Linked DNA regions of Stegostoma tigrinum. The main gene of each other region encodes a partner of the protein of the gene in region 2 in a complex. Links are inferred from orthologs where the notes say so. Each region holds a gene or a part of one and is shown on either strand. Other genes may lie near its edges.

Region 1 (7,713 bases), on a different chromosome or scaffold from region 2:
TCCCCTTTGTGAAGTCAAGCTGACTCGGCTTAATTATATAATGTATTTTTAAATGTTTTGCTATTACATCCTTTAGAATGGATTAACATTTTCCAACTAGCCATTTTCTAACAAGCCAGCTAGTTGCATCAGTCTCTTCTTGGGTGCAATTTTTCTCATATTCTTTCACTCACGCACACACACATATCCAACTACAGAGTCCCTGTACAATACTTTTGAACTCACGCCAGAAGTAAAGCTTCTTGGGCAACGGAACGGACGGCTTCTGGTAACAATGGCAACCCAGTTCAATCAAAACAGGAGCAGGAGAGAGGAGACAAAGAATAAACAAATATTTTCTCAGATTATATACTGTACCTCCACACCAAAATACTTGGCCCAGTGATCCATAGCAACCGGGAGCTCATCTGCCGTAGTCTTCAGTATCTCCAAACTGCGCTCCCCATTTCCAAATAAGTCCTGGTCATAAATAATGTACACAGTGCCTCCAATTATCCCAAACTTTGTGAAGAACCTTGAAACAAAACCATTAGGAAAAACAAAATAGGAACATGAATTCAACCTCACTAAAAAATGAGGACAATAATCAGTCTGGGCTCAAATAGATAAACAGTATGATTCCTCTGCTTTTAGATTTCAGACAACTGTTCTGCCTCAAACAACAACAAAACAATGAGTTTAACATCATTTGAGGTAACTTTCTTCTCCCAAACAGCATGTCTTTAAAGTAGATTGATCAGTCACTTAGCTTAAAATAGGTGACTGCATGTTGTCATTTCTTCTGGATAGCCATAAGACATGTGTGCAGAGGTCAGCTATTCGGTCCATCATGTCTGCTCCACCATTCAACGACATCATGGCTGATCTGAAAATCCTTAAGTCCACTTTCCTGCAATTTTTCCGTAATCCTTGATTTCTTTACTGATTAAAAATCTCTCACAACCTTGAAAAGACTTAATAATCCAGCCCTCTATGGTAAAGAATTCCACAGAAATTTCTCATCTGATTCAAACGTGCAAACCCTTATACTACAAATATGCCTCTGGTCCTATACTGTCCCCGTGAGAAGAAACCCACATTTCTGCATCAACCCTGTTCAGTCCAGAGAGAATCATGTCTGTTTCAATAAAATGACTTCTAATTCTTCTGTAATCAAGTGACCACAGACCCAATCTACTCAACCTCTTCTCAGAAGACAGTCCCTCCATGCCTGTTATCAGTGTCATGAACCTTATCTGGACTGCCTCCCAAGACAATATATCTTTCCTGAAATGAGGCCCAAAATTGTAATAGTATTCTAGCTATGGTCTGACTGTGTCTTATATAGTAAAATACTCCAATCAGAATGTCCCATTTGCCTTTCCTGTTACCTACTGATCTTGGATGCTCTTTGTGATTCAAAGACAAGAACTTGTAAATCTCTATTCTGTACCTTCCTGCAGTCTTTAAATAATATTTAACTCCTCTAACTTTCCTAACAAAGTACACCACTATCACAGGGTGTGATCCTGAAAATCCCGACTCTCAATGTTTTACAAACACAAACAAAAACAGAATTGCTCGAAAAGCTCATGAGATCTGGCAGCATCTGTGGAGGGAAATCAGAGCTAATGTTATGGGTCTGGTGACCCTTCTTCATGATTGGTCTTTAGCCCCACGAGTTTGTGATGACACTGTCACTTTATAAAGGTTATTTTGTCTTGGGTTTTTTTTGAAGAGGGGTTGTAAAGACATAGTTCCTGAAGTGGCGACAGGAGATGGCCTAAGTCAATTGTTTAAGAGGCCTTTAGATTTGTTTAAAAACAGTTGTAACAATGGAAGGGGAGTGGCCAGTTCTCACAAATCAGGCTCTACAGTAGTTTAGCTGTAGCTGTCAGAAGCTGCTCAAGTCCCAGAAGAGTTGGAGCTTCAGTAAATGATTCCTAACTGCGACTTTCTCTGAAACCTCTCAATGTTATTTTGTCCTGCGAGAAAGATTGTTTCTGAATTTACCTTTTTGCCAAGGGATATGTCTTTGGAATATTACTACATGGAACACTTAATTAGTGATATGTACCGTATCTGTTATTTGGTTAAGTTTTCCAATACTTAAGTTATTCCATATTCCTCTTTCTTTTGTTTGTATATTAACTGTAGTGTTTAAATAAATTGTATTTTGCTTAACATTGAGTAATTTTATCAGTTGTGTCACATCTGCAACACGCAGTTCACATCTACCTTTAAAATAAGGAAAAGTTAAGGTCTAGGCTACCTTCTTCAAATATTTTGAGGCGGTCTCCTTTTTATTCATTTACAAGATGAGGGTGTCACTGGCTAGGCCAGCATTTATTACCTATCCCTAACTGCTCTCTGGGCAGTTAAAAGTCACCCACATTGCTGTGGGTGTGGAGTTGCACTGTAGGCCAGGCAGGTAAGGACATTAGTGAACAAGATGGGTTGTTCCTGACAATTGACAATGCATTCACAGTCATCATTAGATTCTTAATTCCAGATACTGTATTGAACTCAAATTCCACTATCTGCCATGGCAGGAATTTGAGCCTAGGTCCCCATAACACTATCTGGGTCTCTGGATTAATAGTCCAGCAAGAATACCACCATTGTCTGCCCAGGTCTGGTCCACAACAAGCTTCCTGAGTACTTTTTCCTCTATTGCTAGTTAATAAATTTATTTCAGCTTCTCCAATTGCCCCTTGAATATCTTGGGATTTAAGAAAGCTTTTAGTGCCTGTGGCGATTTTGGTAAATTTGATGGAACGTTAAGTAAAAGTAGCAATTCTTATCATTCAAGAGCAGTTTTCAGTGTAACTGAGAGTACTGGGTCCATTAGCAGAGATATAAAACATCTGAAATAACAGAGTCCCCTCCCCCACTCCGGGTCGTTTACTCTGTCCTCACCCGCTGCCGCGCCCCCTCCTACCATAACACCTCTCCCCAGTCCCATACTTATTCCAAATTTACCCTCACCCCCGTCCCAAACTTGTTCCACAGTAACAACCCCATCGTCCCGAACCTGACAGCTTTGACAACCCCGGACGCCATGAGCGGTCTGTGCTCCTCCTGTGACCTTTCACCTTCCCGCCCCCGCTACGTCACTCCAGCTGCCGCAGCCACTCGGTTTTTAAAATTATTCCCGAACATCCCCTCCACTTCCCACTTTTTCCCCTCCCTCTCCGCCACTCTTCGGGCCCTCGATGCCCGTACTCCCGGTCCCTTCTCCGTAACCTTCCCTCTCACCCGTCAATCGGGCGGTGGGGGAGGTGTTTTTGACCTTCAGCCCGTTACTGGGCGCAGCCATCTTTGATACTGGCGGCTCCTCTCTGCCAGTCGCTTTGTGGACTAGGTTGGAGGTGCTATAGCAATGCAGGACTCCCATCCTCATCCTTCACCTAATTTATTTATTAATCTCCTGCACAGTTCAACCCAAGTTCCTCCCACACCACCTGCCAGGACCCAATATGAGAATTTTGCGAACGATGCACACTTTGTCAACTGTCTTAAAGCACAGGGGCATTTGGTGCCCAGACCACAGGCGAATTTAATTGACCCCAGAGAAATGGGAAGAGCTGTATTTTGTGGAGAGAACCAGGAGGGACAATATAAAATTACAGGATAAGCTAGGGGTACAAAAACAGAAAGGTGTGAGAAAAAATAATGTTCACAGGATAATTTCAGTGAGTGTGGCAAAGTGATACCCAGATCTTTTCTCACTTTAATCCTAATTTTAGGCTTCAAAGCTGTCGTGATCTCCAATTTAACACGAGAGCTGGGTAGGGGTGATTATTGGTGGATGGGTCGAGAGACCTATGAGAGTCTGAAACTAGAGGGCATAGGTTCAAGGAGAGGAGACAGTTTTAAAGGGGATCTAAGGGGCAACATTTTCACGCAGAGGGTGGTGTATGTATGCAATAAGCTTCCAAAGGAAGTGCTAGAGGCTGGTATGATTACAACATCTAAAAAGATGGGCATATGAATAGGAAAGGTTTAGAGGAATATGGGCCAAATGCTGGCAAATGGGACTTCATTTAGGATATCTGGTCGCAAGGATGAGTTGGATCAAAGGGTCTGTTGCCGTGCTGTACATTTCCATGATTCTATGAGGTGGGATGGGGTTCAGACCTCAAAGCAATTTTCCCTCTAAGCTGCATGCCAAATGTTGTGTGGACGCATTAGCCTCTGGCTCTGGAAGCCACTGACACTCAGGGACGTCAAAGGTCCTGCCACAGAACAGCAAGAAATATTAGATTTGTAGCCTGAGGGGGAGGGGCAGAGCAACACGCTGGCCACTGCTGCTTCTGATCCTGCGACTCCAAATGTTGAGGACGCTTCTTGTAATGACCATCCCCGTCGTGGGCATCAGGTATACTCTACTGCAGTTACTACAATTAGTCATAACTCCTTTCATTTTACCATTACAGCATTTCAGAGATCTGCGGGCATGCTGTCATCCTACTAGATGAGGGAGATCAGGTCATGTATCTGTGCCATGAGGGACATCAGGAGATCATGAGAATATAGGAGGTATGGTTAGGAAGTTTTCAAATGACACCAAAATTGCTGACATAGTGGACTGTGAAGAAGATTATCTAAGAGTACAAAGGGATCTTGATCAGATGGGCCAATGGCCTGAGAAATAGCAGATGGAGTTTAATTGAGATAAATGCGAAGTGTTGCGTTTTAGTAAGGAAACCAGGGCAGGACTTACGTAGTTAATGGTAGAACCCTGGAGAGTTGTTGAACATACTGATCTAGGGTTGCAGGTTCATAGCTCATTGTAAATGACATCACGAGTAAACAAGGTTCGTAAAGGCTTTTGACACGCTTTCCTTAATTGGGCAGAGCATTGAGTATAGGAGTTCGGACCTCATTTTGCAGTTGTACCAGACATTCGTGAGACTACTTTTGGAAGTGGTCTCACCAATGATTGACTAATGCTATTATTGCTGAACTGTTAATCCAGAGACCCAGGTAATGTTCTGGGAATCTGGGTACAGACTCTGTCAGAGCAAATAGTGGAAGTTGAATTTAGTAAAGTTTAGAATTAGAAGCCAGAAGTTAAGGGGTGGTTATAAAATATTGCAGTGACTACAAACCCTGATCCAGTGTCCCTTCATCAACATTCGACCACTTTGTTTCATGGAATAAATAACTTTAATCTTGCAATGCTGCAATTCAATCTAAAGTGAGCAGTAAAACTTTACGCACTTCTCAGAGATAGCCAATAAATACTAGTATTGCCAACAGCACTCACGATAACTAACGTGTCAATAAAACCTCTCATTCACCATGCTTTGCCGTTGGAATTTGGATACTCAGAAATGGCAGGCTTTAAAAGCTTTTTCATTCTCATTTTAACGGTTTCTGCAGGGCTTTTGGCAATATTGTGGAGAGACAATTTTGATTTTGGTAAGGAATTTTAAGGTTTTTGATGCAATTTATTCTGCAATCTTTAGGGTAAATTTGAGCTTTCCCAACTTTAATTGATCCAACATTGCTGAATATGCTGCAGCTGCCTATCTCCTAATCTCTGCAATTCCCTCCCTACACCTCTCCTCCTCTTACTGTGCTTTCCACTTTAGGACTCTTCTTAAAATGTAGCCCCTTGATTGAGCTTTTGGTCATCTGACTTAACATATTCTTGTATTCTCAGTATCAAATCTTATTTCATTACACTCCTGTGAAGCACCCTCAAAGTTTTTATTACCTTAAAAGTGCTGTGTACAAGTTGTTGTTGCTTTATTAGCTGTTTCTGTGTCATGTATTTGAGTGTGAATCATGTATTTGAGTGTGTGTTAAATTCACCTTTTTATTGTATTCCATGAAGAACACAAAAAATACACCCAGCAGGTGCTTTTAAAATCCAGACTCTTGACTAAGAAGGTGAGTGACACAGAGTTTGAGTTAGAGGGGCACAAAGTCCAGAATTTGGTGTGTGTGAGAGAGTGAAATAGAGAGAGAGAGAGACAGTCTTTAAGTGAGATGAGAGAAAGACAGCATCTCTGAGAAAAGAAAGCCTGAATGTATGAGTATGAGAAAGAGAGGCACAGCCTGTAAGCGGGATAGAGACAGTGTGTATGAGAGAGAGAGAGAAGGAGGGAGAGAGCGAAGGGCATGTTGTGTAAGGTTGCAGTTCTCTGAAAGTGTTAGTACTGAGGTGAGACCTAAACACACCCCTCAAGTGAGAGAGTAGATGGGTCTGAGAGAGTGAGGCAGAGAGTGTTTGTCAGTGAGAGAAGAGGTGGAGTGTTATGTGAAGAAGTGAAAGAGAAGGGGCCTGTGTGTGAAAATAACAGGGGAGGTGTGTGAATGAGGCACTGCGAAAACAGGGAGTGTGTGAGAAGGGGAGGGAGAGACTAAATGAGAACCTGGGACTGGGGATGAGCAGTGAACTCAACACGTCCTCTGAAACCTAACTATGCACTAAGCTGCATGAGGAGGAAAATCCAGTCAGTAAGGCCTTTTTCTCTCTCACTTTTGCATGAGTTTTGCCCAGGTCAGTTTGGAGGGTACAACACCAGATGTAATTGCACACTGATGTTTGTTAAAGCTAACACCTAAACTTAGCTCCTCTCATCTTCCCTTTCCCTGGTGATGAGGGGTTGCACTCAAGTTTATTTCTCACTGACACTTAAACAAAACAGCAACAAAAAGTTTTATCTGTTTTCTCTGCTACTTGACATTTTGAGAGGCAATTTTTTTTATTACTAATTGCTCATTTTTTAAGGTTATCAACTGATTTCTTTGGCATTTATTTTGCTCAAACTTGATGTTCACTTTCTTCATCCAAGCCATTTGATATATTGTAAACATAAAAACGTTTCTTCTTAAATCTGTGCACATTATTTCACCATTTACACATATCAGCCCTAGGGCTATCATTATCAAATTTGTGCTCTATGACTAGTTCAACAATCTACCGTTGTCACATCGGGGTGCTATTTTGACACAGTTTAATTGAGAATTCCAAGTGGTTATACAATGTGGGGCTCTGGATACAGATGCTTGATTTTATTTGGGATTAAGTACTTGGATGAATGTTGGGTTTTATGAGGGATTAGTAATCGATGAACGGGCTTTGATCAATGAACCATTTTTTAAAAATTGTTAAGTAATCAGTGGACACTTAGAATTTGATGTTATTCCTTCTCAACCTGAGTCCTGAGATGTGTCTCTGATGGATATGGTGTGAGTTAGCATGGAATGTGAAAGGACAAAAGGTGGTGGTTAGGGCTGTGGGTTGATGCTAGTAGATGCAAAATTGGCATGGGGTCTATAAGGGACCAGGAGAGTATGTTGGTAACCATATGTTGACCCCGGGGGTATAAGGGAATATGGGAGGATTTAAGCTGGCATGCACTGACCTGGATGAGGTATGAGGAGTGATTAGTGAGGAGTGAGAGTTGGAAGGCTGTCCTTTGCTTTCTTGGTCTCTCTTTCAACATGGGATGAAGCTCTAGAGCCAGCCTTTGAGACAATGTGCCTCAGCATCTGGTAGCCCTCTGTCTATCTCCAAACCCTTTTGGGATTGTCAGGCCCTGCTCCCATTAGTAACCCTCGCCCTGTAGGCTGAACCAAAGCTCCACCATCCAGGGCACTCCCTCCCACTTTAGGCTTATGGAGCTGAGGCTTATCCCAACTCTCTGTTCATAACGTAGGGGGTGAGAGGAGTGAACATCATGTCTGAGGGTCAGATGTGTGGCCTTTGGGGTGCTG
Region 2 (7,904 bases):
TTTTACAGTTTAGTCAAAGCCACACAGGCTTTCAGGAAAGGTTTCCTCTGAGGATGGGAGAAGATGCCTCAGCAAGGATTTAGGTGATAACCTGCTGTTGGAGAGAAGAGGGATTCCTCCGTTGACTTATCCCAGCAATTTCTGTTTTTGTTTATGACTTCCAGCATGCATAGTTCTTTTGATTTCTTTCATTTAGTTGTTGGGTCCATATATTGTCTTGGTGACAGCAAAGAAAGCCCTGTCGCATTGCAGCAAACCTACCAACGCACTTCAAAAGCAAACCACAACTTCCTTGCCCAAGAAGGATAAAGCCAGCAGGTGAATATTCCCACCCAAGGAATGCTCACTCTCCTGATCATAAGCAATAGGATTAAGTAGAGGCAGTTCAGCCCTTGAGTCCGCTCTGTCATTCAATAGGTTTATGACTGATCTGACATGAGCTCATTAATTTTATTTCAAATGCTTTGTGCATTCAGATACAAAGCCTTTAAATTTGTTTGGTTGCCAAATGATTACTATCAGTGCACCCACCATCTCTGTATTCACTTCCTTTAACATTTGACTTGATTTGACTTTTCATTGTCTCACATGTATCTAAGTACAGTGAAAACTTCTGTTTTGCATGCAGTACACGCAGATTATAGCATACAAAGACACAAAGGTGATAGTGTGATTGAACAGAATGAGGAATACAAAGTTATACCTGCAAAGAAGGTACACAAAATACAAAATCAACATTAAATTTGAAATTTGAGAGGTCCACTCAAATCTAATAACAGCAGAGAAGAAGTTGTTCTTGAACCTGCTGGTACGTGTGTTTAAGCTTTTGTATCTTCTGCCTGGTGGAAGAGATTATAACTGGGGTGGGAGGGGTCATTGATGATGTTGGCTGTTTTTCTACAGCAACAAGAAATGGATGGAAGGTTGAATTGTGTGATAGTCTGGGTTGTGCACAAAACTTTCTGTAGTTTCTTACCATCCTGGGCAGAGCAGTTCCTGTACCAAGCCATAATGTGTCCAGATAGAATGCTTTCTATGGTGCATCGGTAAAAGTTGTTAAGCATCCTTATGGACATGCTGAATTTCCATAGCCTTCTGAGGAAGAAGAGACATCCTTGTGTCTTCTTGGCCATTGCATCAGCGTGGGTAGTCCAAGACAGATTATTGGTGATTGTCACTCCGAGGAGCTTGATGCTCTCAATCATCTCCACCTCAGCTCCACTGATGTATAGAAGTATCCCACCAGGTCTAGGGGACCTATCTATCTTTAACCTCATTAGTTTCCCCAACACTTAATGCTGGTTATTGACTAAAAAGAGATTTGACTTTCCTTTTCAATTCCACATAAAAATCAGATTCCAATTTGCCATCAGGAGCCCAGATTGAAGAGACTGAAGCTATGGAGGTGGTGGAAAAAGGACAAAGAGACTTTGCTACATTTAAATAGTAGGGTGTTAGGAAAATTAACCAGTCAGGAGAACAGGTCAAAATGACAAAGTCATTTCAAATGACAAAGTAGGTGACAGAAGAAGGTTCTAACCACTAATTATCTGAGGAACGATTGAGATTGATCTCTCTCTATCTCTGCACCTTCTCCACAGTTCTAACACTGTATCCTGCACTTCGTTCTGCGACCCGATGCAGCTTGTATGGTACAATCTACCAGCAAGGCTTGCAAAACAACACGTTTCACTGTATCTCAGTACATGTGACAACAATAAATAAAATCAAATCAAAAGAGAGGAATAGAAGCCCTATGTTCACCCTTGTTGTTAGAAGCAAGATTTTTTTTAGGGGGAAGAGGAGTGGTGAATGACAATTGCATGTAAGAATGTGGGTTAGGTTAAATTTCCAAGTGTACCAAATAGGATTCAAATCTAATAAAACCCGTACCACTACCTACTGTGTAGGGTTGTGAATGAATGATCACCTCTCTCAATTCCCATCTTGCCGTCATCCCTCCACCCCCTGCTATTCACCTGTCATGGTCCCTTTGCCTCCACCACGTCTACACTCTCACAACCACACGGCCTCCCATCTCTCCCTCATCCCATACACCCGCCCTCATCCCCATATCCACCTCATCTCTCACTGCATCCATTCAACACCCTATTTCACCCACATCCCCAAAATCCCTCCCCCACCCACACATCCCCACCTGCCTTCTCTCATCATTCCCCACATCGTTTCCTGCACGATCTCGATCCTATCCAGCCCCTTACTAACCCATCATCCTTCTTCGCCATCCAGCCTCCTCCCATCCATCATCCCGCTACACTCCCAATCCATCCTACACTCCCCTTAACATCAATCATCCTTCTCTCCTCCCCAAACCCTCCCATCCAATTCCCCCCTCAATCATCATCCCTCACTTCCTTCTATCCTACATCCCACCCTCTTTTCCAACACACTCCTATTTATCATCCACTTTCCATCTCACACCCACACAACCACCATCCCTACCTTCTCGCCCCCTCCCACCCCATCCTTTCTTTTCAACTTTCTCCTTAACCCCACCCAGCCACCATCCATCACATCCTCCTCCTCAACTCCTCCCAGCCATCACCCCTCCCCTTCCCCCACTAACCCTGTCCAATATCCCTCCACTACACCACCCCATCCATCATGAATCCATCCTCTCCACTGCCCTCCCATGAGTCATCCCACAGTCTTCCCAACACCCTTTCCAAATTTCCAAAATCACCAAATTCCCATCTATCAACTCCTCCTCCTCCTCGCTCCCATCCGGTCCTAGACATCATCCCTCAACCTCCTCATCCCTTTCCCATCATATCATTCCTATTCATCCTCATCACCCCTTTCCCATCCATCATCCCTCCATCCTCCCATTACCCATCACCCACCCCCATCCATCACCCCCTAACCTCACTCACCCTCATTCCCTGCAAAACTGTCACTCGTTCCTGATCGTCTTTGCCGAAAGACACACGCCTGGTGCTACCGCTGGCCCCCATCCACGGTCTCTCCGATACGATCCTCCTGCCTAAACGCACATTAAAGACCGAAAGCCCCCTCCAGTAACCTCCCACGCGATTGGACCAGTAGGCGTGGCCTGACGTCGCGGCCATACTGGACCAATCATAGCGCGTCCTGATGGACGCTGCGCATGGCCGCAGCAACAAACCGTCTTGGACGCATGCGCAACCGCACGGCCCTCTGGGTGTTGTAGTTTTAGCCGTGTGCATTGCCGTACCTCCCCGCATCCGCCACAGGAGGCGTTGCTGGAGAAGATAATTGTCCAGGGATGTTATCACTGGACTGTTAATGGATCGCCCGAGTAAAACTGTGGGAACCCGGGTTCGAACCCCGCCATGGTGGAATTTGAATTGATAGAATATCTGGAATTAGGAGTCTAATAATGACCATGAAACTGGTGTCAATTGTCAGAAAAATCTATCTGGTTCACTAACATCTTTTACGGAGGGAAGCTGCCATCCTTACCTGTTATGACCTACATGTGACTCCAGACCCACAGCAGTGTGGTTGACACTTAACTGCCCTCTGGGCAATTAGGGATGGGCAATAAATGCTGGGCTGAAGCCGCAACACCTTTTCCTACCTGCCACATGAGGCACTGATATATGTCCGCTGCCCACCACAAGGTGTTGCTGTACACAAGCATAATCGCGCCTCGAGCAGCATCTGAACATGATTCTTCCCCCCAACGAACAAAGGCCAAGGGTGTTTTCTAGTGGAGTTGATGGGGGCATCACTAAAAGCAGTTATAACAAATCGTGAAGATGCACAGAACAACAGACAAAGGAAATTTTAATGACAGAGAAAGAAGGTTAGAAATTGGGTGTAAACGTTAGGTGTGAATAAGAGAAATTACATCCACTTTGAGGGCAAAGGCAAACATACACAGAGCCAGGGCGGGTAGGTTTTCTATTGGAGAAAGGATATAAGAATAATGGAGGTCATAAATCATACTGAGGCCTCCAGCTGGCATTGAGTTTCATTGGAACAGTATAGCAGGCCCAGGACAAAAATATTAGCAAGGATGTAAAGTGATATTCTGTACTTCTCATTAACCTACGGAAGCAAGCAGAAAAAGATATCTGAATAACAACAGCAGCCAAAGAAGTATCATCTCAACACATCAAAACTGGAAGCAAAGACGACTGAACTTACACTCCAAATTTTTCTACCTTTGCCAATAATCTACTTTCCCTATTTGTGGGGTATATGTGGGAGGGGCAAACTCAAAATTCTAATCTTCGGCTCCTAGCATTGCATGCTAATAGCTTATATTTGCTTACCTGTAGCTGCAGTATAATTACTTGTAATAACTAATAATTCTTGGCTTGTACACAAACCTAGCCCAAGCTTTTGATTAACCTGAATGTCTGATAAATTGGGGTACTGTGTACACTTTAAATGATTTTTTTAAAATGTTTGATTCAATTCCAGAAATATCAGCCCTCAATAAACAGTATGCTTCCCCAGTGGGTCATAAAACTATTACTTTCTCGTGGCAACTATCTTGACTCGTAAAAGTCTACCTGCTTGGCCTGAAAACGAAGATTGACAGTTGGGGTCATGTTGTATCTCCATGGCATCAATGGCCCAACTAATCAGCAACATTTTCTCAAGTGTACAATTGGTATTTTTTTCCCCCGCCCAGGTCTGTTTCTTGCATCCTACACTGTTGCGTACAAGATTAAAAGATTAGTCTCCTGCATGTTTTGGTAATCTTTACGAGATTGATCATCGAAATGGCTAAATTTGGTAAGTTTCATACTTGGATTAGTGAGCAACTCTATCCATTAATTGCATATTCATTCAAATATCCAATCGTGTGAAATGAAGGCGTTTCCTCAATAGTCTGATAGAAACGTGTCATTTCTACTCTGTAGCCAATGGCTGATTTAATTAAGTTTCTGGTCAATGGAAATCCTGATGGACTTGATATCAAGAGATTCACTGATACAGAAGTAGAAATGTTTAAATTGTCTCTTTTTGAAGATGGTCACTGCCTGATATTTGTGTGAGACAATATTATTCACCATTTATGAGCCAAAGCCTCAAGGTTTTGCTGCAAATAGACATGGACTGCTTCTGTATCTGAGGAGCTGCAAATGTTACTAAACATATGCAATCATCAGTGTGCATCCATTTCTCTGACCTTATGATGAAGCACAAGTTGTTGATGGAACAGCTGAAGATGGTTGGACAAAGGATGCTACCCATGAGGAACTCCAGCAGTGATGCCACGTGTAGATATGATTGACCTCCAATCACCACAACCATCTTCCATTGTGCCAGGTATAATTCCAACCATTACAATTGGTTCTGGATGTGAGTTTGCTCGCTGAGCTGGAAGGTTAGTTTTCAGACGTTTCGTCACCATTCTAGGTAACATCATCAGTGAGCCTCCAACGAAGCGCTGGTGTTATGTCCCACTTTCTCGTTGGAGGCTCACTGCTGATGTTGCCTGGAATGGTGACGAAACGTCTGAAAACTAACCTTCTAGCTCAGCGAGCAAACTCACATCCAGAACCTCAACCTGAGCTACAAATCTTCTCAAAACTCGATTACAAATTGGTAATCCATCTGTATCAACATTCTTGCTTGGTGGTTAACCTAAAAACTGTCCTTTCCTTTGGCTTGGCAGTAGCAGCACCGACTGTGAGTCTCCCCCGCCCCACCCCCCAAAGATTTCTCCAGTTGATTCTGTGAATCTCTCAGCAGCAGACAACTGCTTCCTCACTTTCAATAAGTTTTGAGCTGGGCCCATTTCTTATTTTCAAATGGATAAGCAGCATATATTTTATAGGAGATAGTAAGAATTGCCGATGCTGGAGTCAGAGACAACAGTGTGGAGCTGGAGGAACACAGCAGGCCAGGCAGCATCTGAAGAGCAGGAAAGTTGATGTTTTGAATCAGGACCTTTGCAGAAGTCTGACGTGCAGCGGGATCTGAGGTGTGGATGGCCGCAGAGTTGGGCTCCTCAGCCTGGGGATCATCCGCTTTTCACTTTTTTCCTTCTTTTACTTAACTCTTGTTGAAGAGCTCAGTCACAGCAACTGCACTGGCAGCAGTGAGCAAGCCCAGTGCTTCTGCGTCAGAGGTGGTCCTAGCACCAACTCATGCCTCCTGCGGCAGAGGCAAGTTTGGCTTCCCAGCAGCGTCCATATTCAGCACAGATTCACAGAAGCAAAGGCAAATTTGGGCCTAGTATGAGACCCAGTAGCAGCAGCGCCTTAGCAAAGTAGTCCCAAAGCAGACTCATGGCACCAGCAAAGTTGAGTTTAGACTGGTGCAGTACCTGGCAACTGCACTGGCAAATCCACAAAGGTCTCAAAGTGGAGAGGATGTTGGAGCAGGTGAGATGGCACTGGAGAGTGGCAACTTTTGTTTCAGTAGCAGTGGTACAGAGAAGGGGACTCGTGACTGGCCACCAGACCCATTACAGAGCACTTAACTCCCGTTGTGTTCTAGGTCGGTGCCAGAGAGTGGACAATACTTTTCATTGTACGTTGTTACGAAATACACGTGTAGATAGGCAGGCAGACAATCTGGGTGCCCTGGCCCATGAATCGCATTAAATTAGTTTACAGGTACAACAAGAAATTAGGAAGGCAAACAGAATGTTTTTGTTTACTGCAAGGAAAATGGAATATAAAAGTTGAGATGTTTTGCTGCAGTTTTTGGAGAGGCCAAGTCTGGAATATTTTGTACAGTTTTGATCTTGCTTAAGGGAAGATGTAAATGCTTTTGAAGCAATTCAGATAAGTTTACTTCAACTAGTTCCTGGGATGGGAGGTTACTGAGCGAGGAAAGGTTGAGTCTATATCCATTGGAGTTTAGAAGATTCAGAGGTGACTTGATTGATATGTAGCATCCAGAGAGGGTTGGACAGAATGGACGGTGAAAGGAAGTTTTCCCCTTGTGAGAGGGACTAGAACTGTGGGGACAGAGTTTAAATTTCAGGGTTGTCAATCTTATGACAGAGACAAGGGCAATTTTTTTTTCTTCTCACAGTAGTGAAACTTTGGAACTCTCTGCCGCAACAGGCAGGATCATTGAATATTTTTAAGGTAGGCATAGATTCTTGGCCAAGAACAGTCAAATGTTATCTGGGTAAGGCAAACACAGTCAAAGGGTTTATAAACTGACAGGGCAGAGTTGCCTATTCTTGTTTCTGACGTATTTCTGGATGTACGTATAGTTATAGGATGTGACCATCACTGGCTAGGCCAGCATTTTGGCTAAAGGTAGTGGTGAGCTGCCTCCTTCAACAACTATAGATAGACCCACAATGCCATAGCAAGGGGCAGCTCCACAGTTTGACCCCGCTACAGTGAAGGAACAGTAATATATTTCCAAGTTAGGGTGATAAGTAGCTTGGAAGGGAACTAGCTCTTCTGTGTCCTTCATGTTTCCCCTGACTTGTCCTTCTAGATCAGTGGTTGGGAGTTTGGAAAGTGTTGGCTAAGGAGCCTCTATCCAAGCAATGCATGATATAAGTGGTACACACTGCTGCTGCTGAGCATCTGAACAGGCGCGAGTGTGTGCCAATCAAGGGGCTGCTTTGTCTTAGATGGTGTCAAGCTTCTTGAATGTTGTTGGAGGCACTCATCTAGGCAACTAGGGAGTATTCTATCACACTCCTGACTTGTACCCTGTAGATGGTGGACAAGCTTTGAGGAGGCAAGAGGCTAGTTACTCATGACAGTATTCCTAGCCTCTGACCTGCTCTTGTAGCCACTGTATTTACCTGACTAGTCCAATTTACTTCCTGGTGAATGGTAACTTCCAGGATGTTGATAGTGGGGAATTCACTGATGGTAATGTCATTGTGATGGTTAGACTGTCTCTTATTGGAGATGGTCCTTGCCTTACATTGTCTAAATCTTGCTGCATTTGGGTATGGACTGCTT
Region 3 (7,547 bases), on a different chromosome or scaffold from region 2:
TACATGATAAGAACCTGTGCTTGGGAATTTTTTTTTAAATGAATGGTTGCTGTTGTGCACAGTACAGGGAGGGAATGGCTGAGTGGTATTATCACTGGACTGTTACTACATAGACCTGGATAATATTCTGGGGACCTGGATTTGAATCTCCCCACGGCAGACAGTGGAATTTGAATTCAATAAAAAAGTCTGGAATTAACAATCTAATGACCTTGAATCGACTGTTGGGGGAAAAAACCCATCTGGCTCATTAAGGTCTTTTAGGGAAGGAAACTGCCATCCTCACCTGGTCTGGCCTACATGTGACTCCAGGTCCACAGCAATGTGGTTGACCCGGAAATGCCCTCTGGGCATTTAGGGATGGACAATAAATGCAGCCTAGCCAGCGATGTTCTCTCATTAACGAACAAAGAAAAAGAAAACTAAACCATAGTTCTGGCCAATTGGAAACTGTTAAGCTCTTACCACCTATTTCTGTATTTGAAGGGTTTACCGGTTGATGTTCGACCTGTTTGGCCACATGATGAGCACAACTTCCACGGCCATTGAGCAGGTAAACTGAATCTGACCATGGAGCTCCTGCCTTGCTGTGTCACAAGAGCTCTTTAGAAAATGTGGAGCTTACTCAGTGAAAAAGGCCACACAACCACATTTAATTCAGCGCTGTCAATTTAGAAAATCTTCTCTCAGAGATTTGGAATCACCAGATTTAGGACTTGCGCTCCAAACCCAACTCTGGCTTTTAAAGTCTTATCTAACAAAGATGTTGCCAGGGTTGCAGGGCTTGAGCTATAGGGGAGAGGCTGAATATGGTTGGACTATTTTCCTTGGAGTGTTAGAGGCTGAGGGGTGACGTAATACAGGTTTATAAAATCATGAGAGTAATGGAGAGGGTGAACAGCCTTTTCCCCAGGGTAGGGGAGTCCAAAACTAGAGGACAATAGTTTAAGGTGAGGGGAAAGATTTAAAAGGGACCTGGGAGCAACCTCTTCCTGCACAGGGTGGTGTGTGTATGGAATGAGCTGCCAGATGAAGTGGTGGAGGCTGGTAAAATTACAAGATTTAAAAAAACATCTGGATGGGCACGTGAATTGGAAGGAGTTAGAGGGATATGCGTCATATGCTGGGAAATAGGACTAGATTAATTTTGGATATTTGGTCAGCCTGGACGAGTTAGATCAACTCTATGTAAACGATAGTGCATTAATGTGAGAAGAGTCTCAGTTTAATAAGCACTCAACACTGCACTGTTTCCTTTCAGGCACTGTCACTTGAGCATGGTTTAAGGAAAACTAAAATGGAAAACAACAAAATCATTGCATTCTTTGTTGAAGTTGAGGCACTTTGGTGAGGCATGGTGACAGCAATTTTATTGTCTAGCTGCACCATATCTGACAATGGGAATGTTTGATATTAAATGTCTCATGTTCCCAAGTGTTGACAAAGTGTATCATAACAGCATTCACACCAGATATAAAATATAATATGCATTTTCACTAAGTGTTATACAGCTGTTCACTGCAAATCAAGCAGATATTAATATTTTACCACACCCTTTTTAAAAATGTTAGTTCCTTCAGCAATCTAAACCCTAGGAGCTAGGATTCCCACTCGAAATGTCTCTCCCTTCCTTTAGGACAGAATTTAAAACATAATTGTTGAACAAGGTTTTGGACACATGTCCTAATATTTCACGAGGTCTGGAACTACACTTTCTTTGATAACACTCCTATGAAGGAATATTTACATCAAACAAATCCTAAACATACACAGGTACATACCCACAGATATTTTCTTAACACAGCATATGGCATAATGGCTAGCACTGCTGCCTCACAGTATCAGGAACTCAGGTTCAATTCCATCATTGGGCAACTGTCTGTGTGGAATTTGCACATTCATCCCGTGTTGGTGGAGGTTTCCTCCCACAGTCCAAAGACGCGCAGGTTCGGTGGACTGCCATGATAAATTTCCCAAAGTGTTCAGGGGTGTGTAGATTAGGTGGCTTTTAGGGATGGATCTGGGTGGGATGCTCTGAGGGTCAGTATGGACTTGTTGGGCCAAAGGACCTGTTCCCACACTGTAGAATTCTGAGTTATGCACAGCTGATCACACCATCTCCCACCTCTGCTTCAGTGGCCAGATGGGTGGAGTTACACTCCCAGCTCAATTCTCATTTATCTGACATTAGTCACTTGCTGTAGCTTCTTTATCTGTTTTGTCATTATGATCACTGGTGTCACCCAAAAGGATCTATCCTTGCTTCCTCTCTCCCAACTACCCTCAATTCCTCAGAGTGTAAGTAACCCCCGGCAATATCATCAGAACGTACAGTGACCATCTCCACCTCAAATAAAGGCAAAACATTGTGGATGTTGGAAATCAGACACAAACAGAGAATGTTGGAAAAAGAAACAGAATTAATGCTTCAAGTCCGCTCCGGCACTTGTTCAGTTCCGACCGAGACAGATCAGACCCGAAACATAAATTCTGTTTCTCACTCCTCAGGTGCATTCAGGCCTGAATTTCTCCAGCATTCTGTCTCTGCTCCAGGTCCAGGCAGCCTGCCCCACACCTCCTAAAAATACCAAGGTTATTTGCCAATTAACACCTCTTTGATCAAGCTTTGGTCATTTGACCCTATTTCTTTATGAGGCTGAATGCTGTTATTCTAGAATGCTCCTGTGAAGCGCACAGGTATGGTTCGTCGCTTTAAAGGCGCTACATGAATGTACCTTGGTGCTGATCCACAAACTCTCACACAGAGGCCAACTTTCTGATAACATCTTATCATTCAGACTGTCAGTCCATACAAACGCCCGGAGTCCTGCTGCCCTGGACCACAGTAGCACAATAAAATGAGTAACGGCCGCTAGGACCCCGCCTCTCACGTTCGCACAACAGGCCTGCGGACACTCACCTGAAACGCCATCACGACACCGCCGGCTCCGGGCATGCGCAGTGCCCGAGGAACCGGCGCCAGAACATGATCAGTCCACGAAGAACACGCCAGAACATGCGCAGTGCCGGAGGAGCAGGCGCCAGAACATGCGCAGTGTCCGAGGAGCCGGGGACAGAACATGGGCTGAGCCGAGCAGGCGGTGTCGAAACATGCGCAGTGCACGAGGTGCCGGCTTTGGAACTTACAGACTGCCCTCAGAGATAGTGGGAACTGCAGATGCTGGAGAATCTGAGACAACAAGGTGTAGAGCTGGATGAACACAGCAGGCCAAGCAGCATCAGAGGAGCAGGAAGGCTGACTTTTCCCTTCTCCAGAAGAAGGGCCTAGGCCCGAAACGTCAGCTTTTGTGACCCGGTGTTGGAGCATGCGCCTTTCACCACGGCATTGACGTCCATCACATGCGCAAAACTTTCAGCGCCGGCTCTAAGGTCTTGGGAGTGCCTGTGCTGACCAGAGTCATGTTAATTGGGATAATTATCATCACTAAAGTCATCTTCATAGGCAACTTATCATCACCAGGGTCGTCCCCATGGGAAACGTATCACCCACAAGGGTTTCTTTTTATATTCCCCATGAGGATGACTCTGTTGATGACACAGTACCCAGTGAAGATGTCTCTGACGATATGTGAAACAGCTTGGAAGGCTTTTAATACAATAAAGGGTATGGATAAGCTTGATTTAGTTGTTGTTTGAAGAAACACGCAGTCAAAGAGAGCTCCCCACGATTATGTATGATGGGGACTGCATATGTGGAAACGGATACCCTCTGGGACAAGTCTCAGCAAATGGAGTCGCAAGCCAAAAGACATGCTGCAACTATAATCACATTTGTAGAAAAAAAACCTTCAAATATCGACAGACCCCAGCAACACACAGCCTCTCAAATACTGACTCACAAGTCAGAGGCATGCCTAACCATTACCTTCTCAATTACTGATACAGTCCCCCAGGGACAATACCCCATCGCTAACAATACTGACACATATCCCAATACCTAGAGAAAATGAAAAGTTCGGACAAGCTTCACGGGAGGCTGCTGAGTAAGGCGAGGGCCCACGGTGTTCAAGGTGAGCTATTGGTTTGGATTGTGGATTGGCTGTCTGACAGAAGGCAGAGAGTTGGAATAAAAGGCTCTTTTTCAGAATGGCAACCGGTGACAAGTGGTGTCCCGTAGGGTTCAGTTTTGGGGCCGCAACTGTTCACTTTATATATTAATGATCTGGATAAAGGGACTGGGAGCATCCTGGCGAAGTTTGCCAATGATACAAAGATAGGTGGACAGGCAGTTAGTACTGAGGAGGTGGGGAGGTTGCAGAAAGATTTAGACAGTTGAGGAGAGTGGTCCAGGAATTGGCTGATGAAATTCACCGTGAGCAAATGCGAGGTCTTGCACTTTTGAATAAGGAATACAGACATGGACTATTTTCTAAATGGTGAGAAAATTCATAAAGCCGAAGTACAAAAGGATCTGGTAGTGTTGGTCCAGGATTCTCTAAAGGTTAATTTGCAGGTAGTGTCCGTGATTAAGAAAGTGAATGTAATGTTGTCATTCATCTCAAGAGGGTTGGAATATAGAAGCAGCGATGTACCCCTGAGACTTTATAAAGCTCTAGTTATGCCCCATTTAGAATACTGTGTCCAATTTTGGGCCCCACACACCTCAGGAAGGACATACTGGCACTGAAGCGTGTCCAGCGGAGATTCATACGGATGATCCCTGGAATGGTAGGTTTAACGTATGATGATGGGCTGAGGGTCCTGGGATTGTATTCATTAGAGTTTAGAAGGTTGAGGGGAGATCTAATAGAAACTTACAAGATAACGCATGGCTTAGAAAGGGTGGACACTGGGAAATTGTTTCCATTAGGTGGGGAGACTGGGACCCTTGGGCACAGCCTTAGAAATAGAGGGGGTCAATTTATAACGGAAATGAGGAGACATTTCTTGAGCCATAGAGTGGTCGGCCTGTGGAATTCATTGCCATGGAGCGCAGTGGAGGCCGGGATGTTAAATATCTTCAAGACAGAGGTTGATAAATTCTTGATCTCACAAGGAATTAAGGGCCATAGGGAGAGTGCTGGGAAGTGCAGTTGAAATGCCCATCAGCTATGATTAAATGGCAGAGTGGACTCGATGGGCCGAATGGCCTTAATTCCACTCCTATGTCTTATGGTCTTATGGTCTAAGCAAAACAAAGACGAGCATGAGAATTTTTGGAAGCCTGGTTTTCAACTACTGGTACCATAAACAAGCATGTTGAAATAGACCCCAACAACATAACATTATGGAGTGAAACCAGAAACACAACTATCCACCATAACAGACTGGACCATATAATTTCAGAAGAGAATAGAACAGCACTTCAACGGAGGCTAGACAGGACTGAAGATGTCACCTAACCAGTCAGCTCGGCGAGCAACCAACAACTCCAGCGACAGATCTTTGCTAAAGAAAATAAAGAATTTAGACACAACTTGACCTTTCAAAACTTTGAAGATGCGTGAAACAGTTCACAGTCAATTAAATACTTTGATGTTTTTAGTCTTGTAATTTTAGACACCGTGGCAGAATTGAGAGAAAGGCTACCTTGGCAAGGGTTGGGGGCAGATGTGAAAGATGATGAATGGCAAAAATCCACAAATTTATTCAGGTGCTAGAAGGAATGCGCCAAATCTTTTTGGCAACTCAATAAAGAAAACATAAAACTTATATTTTGGGGAAATGGTACAGTGGTAGTGTCCCTACCTCTGGGCCAGACAGTTTGTGTTTAAATCCCACCTGCTCCAGTGATATATCACAAAATATGATCTAGGAAAGCACAGTGTGGTTGTGCTCTTTCATTAACAAATTTAGAAAAGATTAATTCACCCACATAATGGGACCAAGCATCAAATTTATATATGCCTGACCAATTCGTGTATCCACTCCTGGCCGATATGGCAGGCAAAGCACTTAAACAAAAGGGTATGGAGGAGCCAATCATCCACTATGCTGTATCTTCAGGTGCCCAATTAAAGAGAAGATTGGAGCATGCAGTACCTTGTTCAAATACCACCAATTACACTGTTGGTAATCTTGGTGGAGAATTGGTATGAAATCCTGATGGGTGTCAATATGTTGACCCTATTGTGGGTACAGAGAAGAAGGAATATTGACTTGTGCTATAAAACTGAGGCTAAAAGACAAACTCCTTTCGACATTTAAGGGGTCATTCTACTCAATCTACAATCCAGTCATTCAATTTATTGGGGCTTGTGATATTCAGGACATGAACCCAAAAGGAGATACAGTAGCTCAGTGGTTAGCAATGCTGCCTCACAGCGGCAGGGACCTGGGTTTGATTCCAGGTGAACGTCTGTGTGGAGTTTGTATGTTCTTCCTCTGTCTACTCCGATTTCCTCCCACATCGAAAGATGTGCATATTAGGTGGCTTGGCCATTGAAAATTACCTTGTGGTGTCCAAAGATGTGCAGACTGGGTGGATTAGCCTTGGTAAATGTGGGATTACAGGGATAGGCTGGGATGCTCCTTGGAGGGTCAGTACAGACTTGATGGGTTAAAAGGCCTCCATCTACACTGTTGGGATTCTATAAAAGCTGAGGATCTATTGGCAGTCACTTTATTTCCATCGAACCGAGGGGTCTATAGAGTATACAGCATTATTTTGGTCCATAAATTTGTAATATTTGCCTACCTATCCTCTCGTAAAACCATTGTTAAAAGAATGTCAGTCAAGCTGTTACACTGAGTTTTTGAGCTGTTTGTCAGGATTCAATTTGTATTCATACCTTTTGCCTTGTGTAACAGTAATTTGAACTGTTTATATCACAGCCACTTGCATGTAACAGCATCCTATCTTGCAGTAAACTAAAACAATCTCAGCTTTTGAACAGCCAAATACTGTTTGTGTTTTTTCAAAACATTGGCACACTCCCTGTAACAGCAGTGATGAATTAACAATTGCTGCAGCTGATATAAAACACATCCGAAATCCTCTGAAACAACCTACTGAGATTTATTACATAAATATTGATCCTTAAATGTGCATTTCCCAAACATTCAGACCCTTTGGATCACGAGATGCTGCAGCTTTTACCAAGTAAGAAGCTAAGCAACAATTAAAGGTTGAAGGTAGGGGTTGAAAGCATCAGATAAATTAGTTTTTCTTCTTATGGATGTGATGCTGGATATTATACCTTTTTTGATCAGGCTGAAACTGGATAACCTTGTCACTGAGGTTTTCAAAGATTAGGCAAGCGTTCTTTTTTGTGAAATGTACTTGCAGATTCATGTAATTACCATGACGAGAAAATATTGATTCTATCCACCATCTGCTGTATTGGCTGTTTTCTTGATCATTATCAGTTGGAAGAAATGGGCTTAGATAATTCCATGTTGTTAATTTTTAGCTAAATTGGAGAAAACCAGTGTACTAATAAAGATGAGCCAGGGAAACAACAGACCTAGTAGTCTTATAACCCTCACTGCAATCGAATGAAAATCATTATTACAGAAAAAATACTTAAGGTTACACTTGCCTTCATTGGGCAATGTTTTGAGTTTAGGAGTTGGGACGTCATTTT

What was found.
Region 1: MICOS complex subunit mic25-a-like (region 2) and micos13 share a complex: the UniProt entries of both Homo sapiens proteins name them as parts of the mitochondrial contact site and cristae organizing system (MICOS) complex. The link is inferred for Stegostoma tigrinum from reciprocal best matches to the Homo sapiens genes CHCHD6 and MICOS13.
Region 3: MICOS complex subunit mic25-a-like (region 2) and MICOS complex subunit MIC27-like share a complex: the UniProt entries of both Homo sapiens proteins name them as parts of the mitochondrial contact site and cristae organizing system (MICOS) complex. The link is inferred for Stegostoma tigrinum from reciprocal best matches to the Homo sapiens genes CHCHD6 and APOOL.

Annotation. Positions count from the first base shown.
Region 1 is NC_081383.1:9,018,940-9,026,652, reverse strand, and holds the start of micos13 (MICOS complex subunit MIC13), read right to left. Parts: upstream 3,086-7,713; 5' UTR 3,043-3,085; coding exon 3,014-3,042; intron 515-3,013; coding exon 358-514; intron 1-357. Other genes in the region: hsd11b1la (hydroxysteroid 11-beta-dehydrogenase 1-like protein), read left to right, coding at 5,319-5,406, 5,825-5,880. UniProt on the Homo sapiens protein: Component of the MICOS complex, a large protein complex of the mitochondrial inner membrane that plays crucial roles in the maintenance of crista junctions, inner membrane architecture, and formation of contact sites to the outer membrane.
Region 2 is NC_081364.1:5,900,462-5,908,365, reverse strand, and holds the start of MICOS complex subunit mic25-a-like, read right to left. Parts: upstream 3,066-7,904; 5' UTR 2,976-3,065; coding exon 2,895-2,975; intron 1-2,894. UniProt on the Homo sapiens protein: Component of the MICOS complex, a large protein complex of the mitochondrial inner membrane that plays crucial roles in the maintenance of crista junctions, inner membrane architecture, and formation of contact sites to the outer membrane.
Region 3 is NC_081368.1:65,800,479-65,808,025, forward strand, and holds the start of MICOS complex subunit MIC27-like, read right to left. Parts: upstream 3,019-7,547; 5' UTR 2,957-3,018; coding exon 2,921-2,956; intron 1-2,920. UniProt on the Homo sapiens protein: Component of the MICOS complex, a large protein complex of the mitochondrial inner membrane that plays crucial roles in the maintenance of crista junctions, inner membrane architecture, and formation of contact sites to the outer membrane.